Linked DNA regions of Kluyveromyces lactis. The protein of the gene in region 1 interacts with the protein of each later gene in a pairwise test. Links are inferred from orthologs where the notes say so. Each region holds a gene or a part of one and is shown on either strand. Other genes may lie near its edges.

Evidence for each region.
Region 2: the proteins of SEC2 (region 1) and MET4 interact in a two-hybrid assay, tested with the Saccharomyces cerevisiae proteins (2 studies listed by BioGRID). The link is inferred for Kluyveromyces lactis from reciprocal best matches to the Saccharomyces cerevisiae genes SEC2 and MET4.
Region 3: the proteins of SEC2 (region 1) and ATG1 interact in a two-hybrid assay, tested with the Saccharomyces cerevisiae proteins (2 studies listed by BioGRID). The link is inferred for Kluyveromyces lactis from reciprocal best matches to the Saccharomyces cerevisiae genes SEC2 and ATG1.

Annotation. Positions count from the first base shown.
Region 1 is NC_006039.1:193,638-197,849, reverse strand, and holds SEC2 (guanine nucleotide exchange factor SEC2), read left to right. Parts: upstream 1-1,606; coding exon 1,607-3,583; downstream 3,584-4,212. Other genes in the region: formin BNI1, read left to right, coding at 1-1,317; AVT2 (Avt2p), read left to right, coding at 3,846-4,212. UniProt on the Saccharomyces cerevisiae protein: Guanine nucleotide exchange factor for SEC4, catalyzing the dissociation of GDP from SEC4 and also potently promoting binding of GTP. Activation of SEC4 by SEC2 is needed for the directed transport of vesicles to sites of exocytosis.
Region 2 is NC_006039.1:1,125,244-1,129,823, forward strand, and holds MET4 (Met4p), read left to right. Parts: upstream 1-1,495; coding exon 1,496-3,625; downstream 3,626-4,580. Other genes in the region: SNAP receptor VAM3, read right to left, coding at 3,777-4,565. UniProt on the Saccharomyces cerevisiae protein: Positive trans-acting factor capable of stimulating the transcription of the MET genes from the methionine biosynthetic pathway. MET4, MET28 and CBF1 are required for full induction of MET25 and MET16 gene transcription.
Region 3 is NC_006039.1:1,497,506-1,502,154, forward strand, and holds ATG1 (serine/threonine protein kinase ATG1), read left to right. Parts: upstream 1-1,453; coding exon 1,454-3,949; downstream 3,950-4,649. Other genes in the region: GTS1 (Gts1p), read left to right, coding at 1-891; KLLA0_C17182g (uncharacterized protein), read right to left, coding at 4,228-4,649. UniProt on the Saccharomyces cerevisiae protein: Serine/threonine protein kinase involved in the cytoplasm to vacuole transport (Cvt) and found to be essential in autophagy, where it is required for the formation of autophagosomes.

The DNA.
Region 1 (4,212 bases):
TCTCGTATGAGAGCAATCACTATGATAACTACTTATGAAAAAGACTATTCGGATTTGGTCACTAAACTAAGAAAAATTGATAGAGCAGTTCAGTGCATCGAACAATCTGAAAGTCTCAGACATGTTTTCGATGTTATTTTGGCAGTTGGTAATTATATGAATGATTCTTCAAAGCAAGCTCAGGGGTTCAAGCTAAGCACCCTACAAAGATTGACCTTCATTAAAGATGAAAAGAACAGTATGACTTTTTTGAACTATGTGGAAAAGATAATTCGTGAAAATTATCCCGAATACAGCCATTTCGTGGAAGAGCTTGAGCCTATTTTTAGCGTAACAAAAATATCCATCGAACAGTTGGTAACTGATTGTAAGGAATTTTCACAGTCAGTAATTAACGTTGAGCGTTCTATTGAAATTGGAAACCTAAGTGACCCTTCTAAATTCCATCCGTTAGATCGTGTTTTAAATAAGGTAGTACCGGTTTTACCTGAAGCTAGAAAGAAAGCTGATCTTCTAAGCGATGAAATCAAATTAAGTTTGCTGGAATTTGAAAATCTAATGAAGAAATTTGGCGAAGATGCCAACGACAAGTTCTCTAAAAACTCTTTCTTCCAAAAGTTTGCAGATTTCATTACCGAATTCAAGAAAGCTAAAACTCATAATGTCAAACTGGAAGAAGAAGAACGTGCTTACGAAAGGAGAAAGAAAATGATTGAAGATCAACAACGGAAACAACAGGAGGCAGATAGTAAGGCAACAGCAAAAAATTTAAGCACTTCGCAAGAACCGTCTGATGATAGGGACGATATAGAGAAGCTTTTGGATAAATTGAAAAATGCAGCTCCTTCAAAAGGAGATCCATCTAGTACTCGTAAACGTGCATTGGCTAGAAAGAAATTACTAGATGGTAAATCCGGGGCATCAATTTTTGATAACATCACTGCTGATAGTACTATCGAAGCTTTCGTGGAACAAAATAGAACGCTTACCGAATCGCCTACTGCTAAAAAATCGGCCAGCCTTCCTGAAACTGAAAGCTTGTCGTCATCAAAACAAGACCCTGCAGATAGAGCAAGGAATTTATTACTAGAATTAAGAGGCCCTGACGAAAGAAAAGACGCTTCTCCATCCCCAATCAAAGCAAAGGACAAGCTTAGGGATCTGAAAAAAAAAGATTCTTCTGTGAAAGTAGACCAACCTAATAAACTACAATTTGTTGGAAGCCTAGAAGTTGGACCTCATCCTAAACCGTTATCGCCAACCCAAGATTTGATGGACACATCGAACTCATCGGAAGATGAGTTTATTGATGCTTAAAGACTACATAATACTCATTTCAGCATTTATTTAATAACTACAATATGTGTATACTTGCATAGACATAATTCGTATACCGAAATTGACATTTTCATTTTAAAACCGGGTAATGAATTTAGTTCCAATGTTTGATGAAATCAAGAATGTAATATATATCAACCAAATTACCAGAGGACTAATGAAATACATAAATACTCGCCTGTGTAATTTACTTCAATAAATGAATCACTGATTTTGCTAACAGAAAGTACTTGCTACAAGCAAAGCTGACGGTAGCCTTATTTTTAGAATGGCGGATCAAGAAGAGTCAAAGCGCATATCTTTGCAAGTGACATCTTTATCTACGCAATTAATCGAAAGCATTGATAAACAATCCCAATTAGAAGAACAGTTACTAGTGGCTAAGAAAACCATTTCCACTCAGCAGAATATTGCGAACTCATATAATGAATTGAAGCAGGAACTACAATCTTTGAAATTACAATACGAAACCGATAAGACAAAATTCAAGAAACAGGAAGAAATTTGTGCTGATGCCGAAAAGAAAGTGGCTACATTGAACCAAGAAATTGAAGACTTAACCGCTTCTTTATTCGATGAGGCTAATAACATGGTAGCAGATGCAAGGAAAGAACAAAATGCTGTAGAAATATTAAACTCGAAGCTCAAAGAGCAGTTGAAAGAAAAGGATTTATTACTTGATACATTGTCAATGCAGTTAAAGAATCTCAAAAACGTACTCTACAAGTTCGAAAATGATTTCAATTCTTCGAAGAACGTTTCACTTTCAGATTCTGCGACGTCCTCTACCACATCAATTGATAGATCAACCACCAACCTAACCTCAGTAAATGATAATTCATTGTCGTTTCAAGGCGTGTTATTTTCCCCTCTTCTGCATTCGTTAAGGTATGACGTTCCTCTATACACAGAATATTTGAAATTTCTTGCTGTGCTACCACAATGCGAAAACCTTCAACAAACCACTTCGGAATCGAAACTATTAAGGAGATTAATAAACTATGAAATAAGTCCCGTCTTGCGACTTGATAATGCCTCCGGAGTAGGATGGCTTGTAAAAAGAAATTTAATGAATTTAATGATGGAAGGACTGGTATCAATCGAGCCGATTAGTGGAATAAATGAAACATATCGTACAGGATATAGTTCTCCAAGTATTCCCGACTCTCCAGAGGTCGAAAACAAAGATTCTCATTTGTTTAGCCGTCCGGTGAATTCTCCGCCTGTTGCTATGGTAGAACCATGTGCTTTCTGTGGTGAAAATAGAAACGACATCCTTGAACATGGAAGACTTTATATCTTCAAAACATATCAAAAGCTCGAAAATGGTAAAAATGAGTTAACAAATCAATTTCCCGTGTGCCATTACTGCTTGTTGAAATTAAGACAAGTTTGTGAAATTTTCGCATTTTTGAGATCATTGAGATCTGGTGCTTGGCATCTAGAAAAAGTAGCTTTGGCATCAATACATCAAGGCAAGGTCAATGCTTACTCCGAGGTAACTAAAGCATCAAGGCCGAAAATGAAATCCAAAAGATTAAGTATTTTCCAAGGATTAAAGCAATCGCAATCTTCAACTCCTATCATAGAAAATGGTCCACAATTTGCCGACAAAAACGGACTACCAACAACCAATATCCAGAGGTCATGGGCCCGTCTTTCACAACTACGAGCATCTTTACAATGGTCGCATATTGGCGTATGGTCTCTCGACGAATCGGTAGCTACAGATATTGCCCCATCAACAGATATTTCCAAAGCTAAAAGTTTTGAAGAAGAACAAGGTCTAGGCATTGCCTCAAACAATATCCCTGTCCCTATAACACATGAGGAGGATGAAACTTTCGATTTTGAAGCGGATACCGCAAACTCTATCAGTGTGGATGAAACAGTCAATGGTATACGTCACACAGATCAATCATCGGATGATATTGGCGATCATAATGAGAAAACTAATGAGAAGACTGCCACGGATTTACAAGGAAAGAATGAAGAGAAAAAAAGCAAAAAAATTGAACCACAGCATTCAAGACAGCCCTCACAATCATCCACAGTATTAAATGATAACAAAGAAAGTGCCGAATCAGCTCATGATACCCATGCATCATCTGAAGAGCCAAGTGATTTATTGGAAACTTATCAAGATCTGTCCGCTGATCTTGAACCCGAATCTGAAAAGCCTGAAAATTTGGATAATTCTGATGAAGAGGATAGTTTTAACGATGCAAAGGATGTCGTCAACTAGTGTCATGCACAATCTTTCCTCCTACCTTGCATACTTTGTAACAATAAATACCTGATGTAGAGAGTTTCATTTCAATGCACGTGATTTGTCAAATTTCGTCATCCTTATCATACCCAAAAGACTAAGCACCAAATTTATATATTGCAAGTATTTCTTCTTGCCTTAGATAAAACAATATGGCTGTAAGAAGGTTGTAGTAGCAAACGGAGCGCACGATAGTTGAACCGCTTATGGCCTACTTTGTGAATTATAATTAATACAGATGCAGATAGCCGCTGATAAAAAGTATGCAAAACTAGCTCTGTCTGATAAACAATCGAAGAATGAACCAAATCCGTTTGAACTGGAGTTAACGTCATTTGATGACACCGCGAAGACAGCTGACAGCGCAGTTGACCAAAACATTTTTAATGTTAATGAAGAAGACCCATTAACAGATGACATCTATTTATCTAATGAGGCAAAATCTAACAGGTACATGGCTTTCATGAACATGGCGAATAGTATTTTAGGATCAGGAGTGATAGGGCAACCTTTTGCGATGAAAAATTGCGGAATCATCGGCGGATTATTTGCGACCATATTAATGTCCATACTGGTTGATTGGACCATTCGTCTGATTGTGATCA
Region 2 (4,580 bases), about 930 kb from region 1:
CTCAAAAAAAAAGTAGTATACCTTCTGAAAATCTTTCAGTGAAGTAACCTTGTTGAGCAGAGTTACTGAATAAGTAAAAGTTTGTTGATATCTACCTTGAGATCGAAGTAAAGACAGTGAGAGTTTATGAGACAACTGTAAACAGGAAGCAGTTACTCTGGCTTTAAATTTTGAATTTACACATTAAACCTTTTGTGAAAACACTGAAAAAGAAATTAAATTTCACACACCCACCTAACTTTAAGCTATGTAAACTGTGTACCGAGAAAACTACGGAGGGAAATTCTCAGGTGATAGGAAGGAACGGAGATAGAGCAACAAGGTAATCTATGCAAGGAGCAATAGCTCTTACTTACACAGATGATCAAATTGTGTTTTACTAGCCGCAATATCGTAGCCGTTTTATCCTGCTAATAGAATTGTGTCTCTGCTGCTCTTTTCCCGTACCAACCCGTATTTACCCTCACTATGTTTCTTTTTCATTTTTCCTTTCCAGTTTTTTGTAAAAAAAAGAAAAGCACAGGAAAATGGAAAAGAAACATGGAAAAGGAAACTTTAATCCGTATTTCACGAAACAGTAAGAGCAAACTGGTAGGAGACAAGAAAGTTTTTTTGATATGCATAGGTCAGTCGGGAGATATTTATCGCACCTCCTGTTCTTGTCCTCGATAATTTGCGATGGGGTCTTGTCGATTCCCTAGTTTACGCTATCTATCAGATTTTCATCTCTGAAGATTAGATTACAAGCTCCTTATCTTGAAGGAAGAAAAAGACTTGGCAAACGCAGGTAACGACCTCAAGCAAAACACAATAATCAAACGGCGATCGGCAACCGGCGGTCGGCATTAGTACTGAAAGATCAGGTATAGGGAGAGCATCGGATGAGTGTTTACTTGCTGTGCTGGATTTTCAAACTGTCACTAGTGTGCTGTTTTTTCTCTTTACGATATGTATAATCATTCTTTAGATCAGCGAGCTTTTCTATCTGTGTGAGAGCATCTACGCGGTAACACTCCAGCAATAAAATGCGGGGTTGCTTACTGACTCGAGAAATGAGAATGTAGGCACTAATACTGATGGATAAATAAACATTTTTCCGCGGGTGATCGCAGAAACCGGAGGAAAGCAAGAAAAGAAAAAAGCGAACAACACGAGGGAACACAAATCACGTGCTTCGTATCACGTGCAGTTTGTACTGTGGCTGATGTAATGTCTGTATCCGGGTAATTTTCTTGTCCGGGTAATAGACGTTCCACAGTTTGGTGATTACTTTTTTCTTCTTCTTTTCCCTTTCCTCATTTTTTTCCCGACTTTTGATGAAATTGCACGAGACCTGAGCTGAAGAATAATACAAACTAAAGTATTTTCAATCATCGTCTACTGTTGATATCAACAGCATCGAGTGAAAGGCCACATTCAAATTTGAGCCTTAGTTCCAGGGAATAACGACAGTGAATCTTTATTTATCGAGCCGGCTTCTCTCATTCTTTCCGCTATGAATAGTGGAACTTCCAATAATCTTAAGCGCACTGGTAGCAGCAGTAGCGGTGTTGGTGCAAGGAATATGGATAATCATATTCGAAATCCTAATGATAGTCATCCCAGTCAAGGTATGGACAACATTTGGGGGAACAGTCCGGAATTCTCGACACATTCTCCATCTACCGCATCGAATCACTTACATTCGTTGATTAACCCCCCTGCTGATGTGAATAATGATGTTACCCCTAGCATTCTTTTGGAACAACTAGCGTTTGTTGATAATTTTATTACTGATTTTAACTCTGACTTTGGACCCAATGTGACAAATTCTTTTTACAACAATGAGGGACCTCATGGTGACACTGTAAATTCATTTAGTGGGATGCCCTTGAATCATCAAGTTGGTGGTTTAAGTGCAGATAATCAGCTCGCGATGGATGAACGTTTAGCGGCGGAATTGAGTGTTTTCGCAGATGAGACTTTTATTTTCCCAGATGAAGACAAAGCTGATAGACATGATAGCGATGACAACGGCGACCATTACAACAGCAACCATAACTTCGGATTGAACAACAATGCTAATCCTAGTACTAATGATAATAACATCGACAATAACAATAATAATAACAGTGGTAACAATCATAATAGTAATAATAACAATAATAATAATAATAATAATAATAATAATAATAATAACAGAAACTCTTCGGAAAAGAGAAACTTGTTCGATAGAAAATCAAACCTGCTGGGAAACCAGTATGATCATACGCGGCAACGGTTTTCGAGGAAAAGGTCATCGACACAGAATTCTCCGATCCCCGATCATGGAGGATTTACACACTTTGATGTTCAAGACCAATCCAATAGTCATAATACAGGCAACCTAAATGGCACAAGTGCAAACCGCCAACGAGATATGCCGTTTGCCACTTCCCCACTAACAAATTTATTAGCCGCATATGATTTAACTTCAATGTCATATCCGTCCAATACCACTGTATCGTCTGCCTCTTCAATCGTCAACACAGCTAGTAACCATGGTAATAATCATGTCAATAGCAACGAAAATCCGTATCGTCCAAGTACGGCTGCAACATCAGGATTTGAATCAAATATACAGATGCCAGACTACTCTACAATACAAACTGCGACTTTGGTATCATTGTTGCCTATCATTAATGTTCCCAGAGGTGCTTACCAGTCTTTGCGTAATGTTGGCTTTAAACCAGAACAGATTGACGCCATAGCTGCTATTATGGCTTATTATGAAAGAGAAAGAGAAAAGTTTGATCCTCCTGTGAGGAAGCCAACTAATTTAAATAATCACTCTACAAATAGACCACCATCGTCAGCTTCCCATCTGGGCTCATCGATAGATGTGAATTCGCAAAATCAACTGGTTCCTGAACCTCAAGAACATATTCAAAGCTCCGTTGGCATGCTATTGGATTTTTTGCATGAAAAACCTGAGCCATCTCCTCAATCAAGTGTCCATAAACCTAATCCAAAAAGAGCCAAAAAAACTCCAGTGGAAAAAGAGTCTAGAGTTATTGATACATATATGAAAAACTCACCGAAAGTGCACCACGGCTCAATTTCTAACAACATAAAGAAAGAAAGCGAAGAGAATTCTGCAAAGCAAACACTGGATGATGGTATCAGTAAAACACCAAAATCAGTTGTCAGGAAACTAGAATCAGCTTCCTCTCTTAGGAAGGATGTAACGTCTGCTAAATTGAAGGAAGAGGTGAGACAATCGGAAGAACTTCTCAATGACAAGGAAAATGCTGCTAAGAGTCTCGATGAGAAGATAAACGAAAAAAAGCATAATACTGATTCTGATAAAAACAATTCCTCCAGTGATGGTGTAGAATCGTCGTCCACTTCCTCAACCCTTTCTTCAAGACCCAAACTGCCGAACTTGGATCAAACTAAAAAACTTAAAGAGAAAGAAATGGAAACTTGGGTCCAAGATCTTTCACAGTTAGCTTGTGACTTGAAGCAAAGAATCAATACCCTTGAAATGGAAAACAGACTTCTCAAAAATCTTGTCATTGAACGTGGAGATCTCAAGAATGTTGAGTCTTATGAACTATCCAAAAATAACTCCTCCGAAAGCACTAAAAAGGATACTGACAAGTAAGCTATGATTAATAATTAGTTGTAACCTCTAAGTCGGACATATTTACCTGATGATGCGTGTTCTCTAAAACGTAACGTAACTTTCATCCAAGTATAAGGCCAGAGATAAATTTTGTATTAATATATAGTTACATTCCTCGTAGAATCTAACCCTATGATAGAATCGCGATAAGAGTTATTAGAGTGATAACAACAATAGCTACTAGAAGTATTGTACCACATCTGTTCTTTTTCCTTTGATATTCATTTGCTTTGTGAAGTTCTTTGTTCGCCTTTTGCAAATTATTAGATAATCCTGTCACATTTTCGCCAATTGTGTCAACTTGTTCGCCCTGTTCCTGTACCAGACTTCCTAGTTGTTTGAAGATGGCATTGACCTCTTGCACAGCAGAGTGGATTTTTGATATGTCCTGGGATCTTTCATGTTGAATTATCGTGTGAAAATCTAACTCATCCTGATTCAACAAAGGCTCTTGCTGTTGGGTAGACAAAAGTAACGGAGTATCCTCTGAAGAATGATCCCTCCTCTCGATATCGTCTTGTATTGGCATGCTTTCATATTGCGATACGAGATGTTCCGATTCATTATCTTTACTCTCTTCGTCAGGTATGGGATTCTGTACTGCCCTATTCTCATAATCGGTCTTTACACTGTTATATTGTTTGCTTAACGCTTGAAAATCTCGAGCAAATTTATCTTGTGTATCTAGCGAAGTTAAGTCAGCCAGTTTTCGACTAATTTTCTGGATTTCGGGGATTACTCTATTTTTTATATCAACCCTCAATAGTTGTCCGTCCTTGCTTGTCCCTATTAGATGAGCTTTACGCTTGAGTAATTGAATATTCTGTTCTAGTGTTATCAACAAAGGCACCGCATCGTTTCCACTAGAATCTGCACGATTGTCCTCCTTTTTTGGAGTACTATTTTGATAAAAGGACATCAGATGTAACGCGAT
Region 3 (4,649 bases), about 1.3 Mb from region 1:
GGAGGAAACAAACATAACAGCAGTTTTTGGAACCCTAAGAAAGAACCTTTCCCATTTGACGGTGACGAGGATCGTACTGCCGTTGAAATGTTTATCAGGGATAAATATTTAAAGGGTAAGTTCAGACATACCGCTGTCAAGGTGGAAGATTTCAATCTAGAGGATGATTCGTCACAATTGGACTACAAGTCATCCCGCCCATCATCTGCGTCCGGGTCCAGAAGAAACCGTTCTGCCTCATCTGCCAGCAGTAGACCAAGATCAAGAGAAGGAGACAGACCTCCGCTTCCAAAAAGGCCGGACAACAAAGTGCAAGAAGCCGTTTTCGATGGAACAAGTGAACCAAGCCTACCTAGTACAGCATCGGCAGAACCTCGCCCAGCAGTATTCGATGGGGTACAACAATACTATGATCCAACTACCGGCCAAATTTATGTAGATCAAAACTCCTATGCGGCAATGCAGCAGGCCCAGGTACAAGCATTGGCACAACAAGTTCAACCTCAGTTTACACAACAGGTTCAACCTCAGTTTACACAACAAGTGCAACCCCAATTCACACAGCAATTACAACCTCAGTTCACCCAACAGGTACAGCCTCAATTCACTGCTCAACCATCGATAGATAAGAACACACTATTATCACTGTATCAAAGACCAGATTTATATTCTAGTGCCGTAGAAATCAAACCGGATAATCCACAATACCAACAGATCCTGAATCTCCAAAAACAACAGCAGGACCAACAACAGCAGCAACAGCAACTGCTACAACAACAGCAGCTACAACAGCAGCAACAGCAACAGCTCCTGCAGCAACAACAGTTACAACAAATGCAATACCAACAACCACAACAGTACCAACAACAATTCTACCCCCCATTCCAATAGATCATCATCCCTTGGCCTTCTTTGCAGCTGCAGCTGCAACTGCACATCTGCTACCGCACTACGGTTTAATCTCTCATACCTATGTTTGCCTATATAATACGTAAATATGGCTAAAACCAAAACACCGCTACAACTAATATCTAACTTTGTCTTCCTCCTCTGACGTTTCACAACGTCTGCTATACACTCTTATCCGGAACATCCACGATCTACTTACTACCTAGCTATCACCACTATTATCTTACTGACCATCAAAAAAAAAACCTCCCATTGACTCATAACCAATCATATCTTATTTGCACTTAACGAGCGTTTTCTTAAAACCGTTCCACCAAGCACCAGTGTCTTTCCACTGCCTTTACTGTGTACGTTTTCTGCGATATATCTGTCTTTCCTTCTTTGTTTCTTTATTTCTATATAAAGTTCAAAATGACTTATTACAAACTAAGTTTTGATCCTTAAAAACCATTTATAAGAAATAAGAACGCCCCCCCTTGTAAAGAAAGAGGCCAAAGAATGACAACGGTCTGGCACTGAGTAGTCATATGGAAAGCGGTTGAGCATGAGTTCAGAATCGCACGACAAAGTTGTGGCGAAAGCCATTCGTTTGCCGACAGAAAACTATTCCGTGGAGAAGGAGATCGGTAAGGGTTCATTCGCGGTTGTTTACAAAGGTCTATCGTTAAGAGATGGGAGAAACATAGCTATCAAGGCCGTGTCGAGGTCGAAGCTAAAGAACAAGAAGCTTTTGGAGAATTTGGAGGTCGAAATTGCCATTTTAAAGAAGATCAAACATCCGCATATTGTGGGGTTAATAGATTGTGAGCGGACTTCATCTGATTTCTATTTGATCATGGAATACTGTGCACTAGGTGATTTAACGTTTTTCATAAAGAAGAGGAAGAACCTAGTGCTCAAGCATCCTTTGATAAAGACTGTTTTTGAACATTACCCGCCACCAAGTACGGAACATAATGGATTAAATCGGGTTCTTGTGGTAAACTATTTACAACAACTATCCTCTGCGCTTAAGTTTTTGCGATCTAAGAATCTAGTACACAGAGATATCAAGCCACAGAATTTATTGTTATGCACACCGTTATTAGATTATAATGATCCGAAGACGTTTCATGAGTTGGGGTTTGTGGGAATCTACAATTTACCCATCTTGAAAATCGCGGATTTTGGGTTCGCTAGATTCTTGCCTAATACTTCTCTAGCAGAAACTTTATGCGGGTCACCATTGTACATGGCTCCAGAAATATTAAACTATCAAAAATACAATGCCAAGGCTGATCTTTGGTCAGTAGGAACGGTGCTATACGAAATGTGTTGCGGGAGACCGCCTTTTAAAGCATCAAACCATCTCGAGTTGTTTCAAAAGATTAAAAAGGCCAACGATGAGATTACAGTGCCCTCAAATTGCTATATTGAACCGAAACTGTTCAATCTAATAAGAGGGTTGCTAACTTTTGACCCGGATTCCCGTATGGGGTTCACTGATTTTTTCAATAACGAAGTAGTGACAGAAGATTTGACAAGGTACGAGCAATCGTATGAGCCAGACTTAGAATCCAAGAGTAAAGATGTCGCTGAAAGTAATATGTTTGTTTCAGAATATCTAGTCAAACCATTAAAGCAGCAGGAATCTGCACATATACCACCAACTCAAACTGACGAGAACACTAGTGTACAAACTGGCGTTAGGCGAACCTCAGGTAAAGAGAGGCTCGCAACAAACCATCCACCACATCAACAGATCCACCCAGAAGATAACTCTCAAAACCCAGAACAAAGCTACCAATCTGCAAGTCAGAAGAGGCTAAAGAGCTCTTACAATGATTTGATTTTGGAGAAGGAGTATGTTGTTGTGGAGAAGAAAACTGTCGAAGTAAATTCTTTGGCTGATGATTTTGCTAATAATGGACCCATAACAAACAACCAAGGGGCACAAGTTATAAAACCCTTGAGATACAGAACGTCTTCTTCTAGCGATGCATCAGGAGGAAGAAGAGCCTCTTTAGTGGAGAGAAGGCTTTCGATATCGTCATTAAGCCCGTCGAATGCGTTATCGAAGGCACTAGGGTTAGCTTCTGTAAGGCTTTTCGGATATCAACATAATACAAAGGCTACTTCTTCGCCACCTCAACAAACACTACTGAATCCTCAGATATTTCAGGAGCTAACGGAAAATGCAGTATTGAGGGCTGATCATAAACTAAATCCTTTCAGCGAACAAATGTTGGATTCCAACATAACTCCTGCAGTGGAATCGCTTGCGGCCAAAGCATTTGTCATGTATTCGTTCGCTGAAATGAAATTCTCTCAAATTCTTCCAACTCCTCCTTCTTCAACCGACTATGACCCACTGTCAGATAAACGTCTAAGTAACGGAAGTTGCGCGATAGAGGATGAAGAAGATTTGGATCAAGGCCGCCCACCTTCTAATCAAACTTTGACCTCAGCAACAACAAAGATTTCATCAGCCACCAATGTTGACACTCAAATACCGGCCCCCGAGTTGAAAAAGTTGTGCACCGAATCTTTACTTCTTTATCTAAAAGCTCTTACTATTTTAGCTGCTTCAATGAAATTAACATCAAAATGGTGGTATGAAAATGAAAGTAAAAACTGCACTTTGAAGCTAAACATTTTGGTGCAGTGGATTAGAGATCGCTTTAACGAATGCTTAGACAAGGCTGAATTTTTGCGTTTAAAGCTCCATGCTATTAATACATCACCAAATTCCCAATGGTCAGATGATGACCCTGTAATTTTTGTTGAAAAGTTAATATACGATCGTGCTTTAGATATATCTAGAAATGCTGCAAGAATGGAAATGGAAAGTGGGAATTACAATACTTGTGAACTAGCCTATGCTACTTCATTATGGATGTTAGAAATTTTGCTGGACGAAAATTTTCAATTCAACGAAGTCTATGATGACGAGTATGCATCAAATATCACCTCCTTAGACGAATCAGATAAGGAAATGATAAAGAAATACATTTCAAGTATTGCTAATAGGTTAAAGGCACTAAAATCCAAAATGGTTTAGGATTGATCATCTTTTGGATTGGGTTTTTTACAATTTACATTTTATATAATGATTATATATATATGGATTAGGGTTTTTTCCATTAAACACTTACTACTTTTTTTTTGAAACGATACCGATATCGTTTAGTAGTAAAATAAGATTATATCTATGAATAGAATGACTTATTATAATAAATTAAATACCAAATTAAAAATTTCCAAACTTCAAATACGAAACAAAACGGGAGATGCAAATATAAAGCGTTTCAACTTTTGACAAAATAACTCAAATGTCGCTCAAAGGACCTCTATAGTACTATTGGAGCCTTGGTTTGTACGTTGTTGTTCTTCCTGAATCCTCCGTTGATTCTCTTCTTCCTTCTTCTTTTGTTCTTTTTCTGCCTTTCTGCGTTTTTCTGCTTCATTTTTAAGCTCATTCTCGAGCGTTTTCATTTTTTCGTCCAATTCCTTCAATTCTTTATCAGTGTTTTTCCGTTTGTCATCGATGAACTTCTTGAACTTCTTTACCCTTTCTGCAAGTAAATCTCCTGTCCTCTTATCTTGCCCTGCCTTAAGAAGTTCTTCCTTTTCTAACCTCGAAACTCTGATATCTGCAAAACCCTTTGCTTGTCTTTCAGGGAACGCCTCGAAATACTCTTCAAATTGAACAAAAAGCTCTTTGTCCGCTCCATTATTGGAAAGAGCTTTTATCGTCTGAG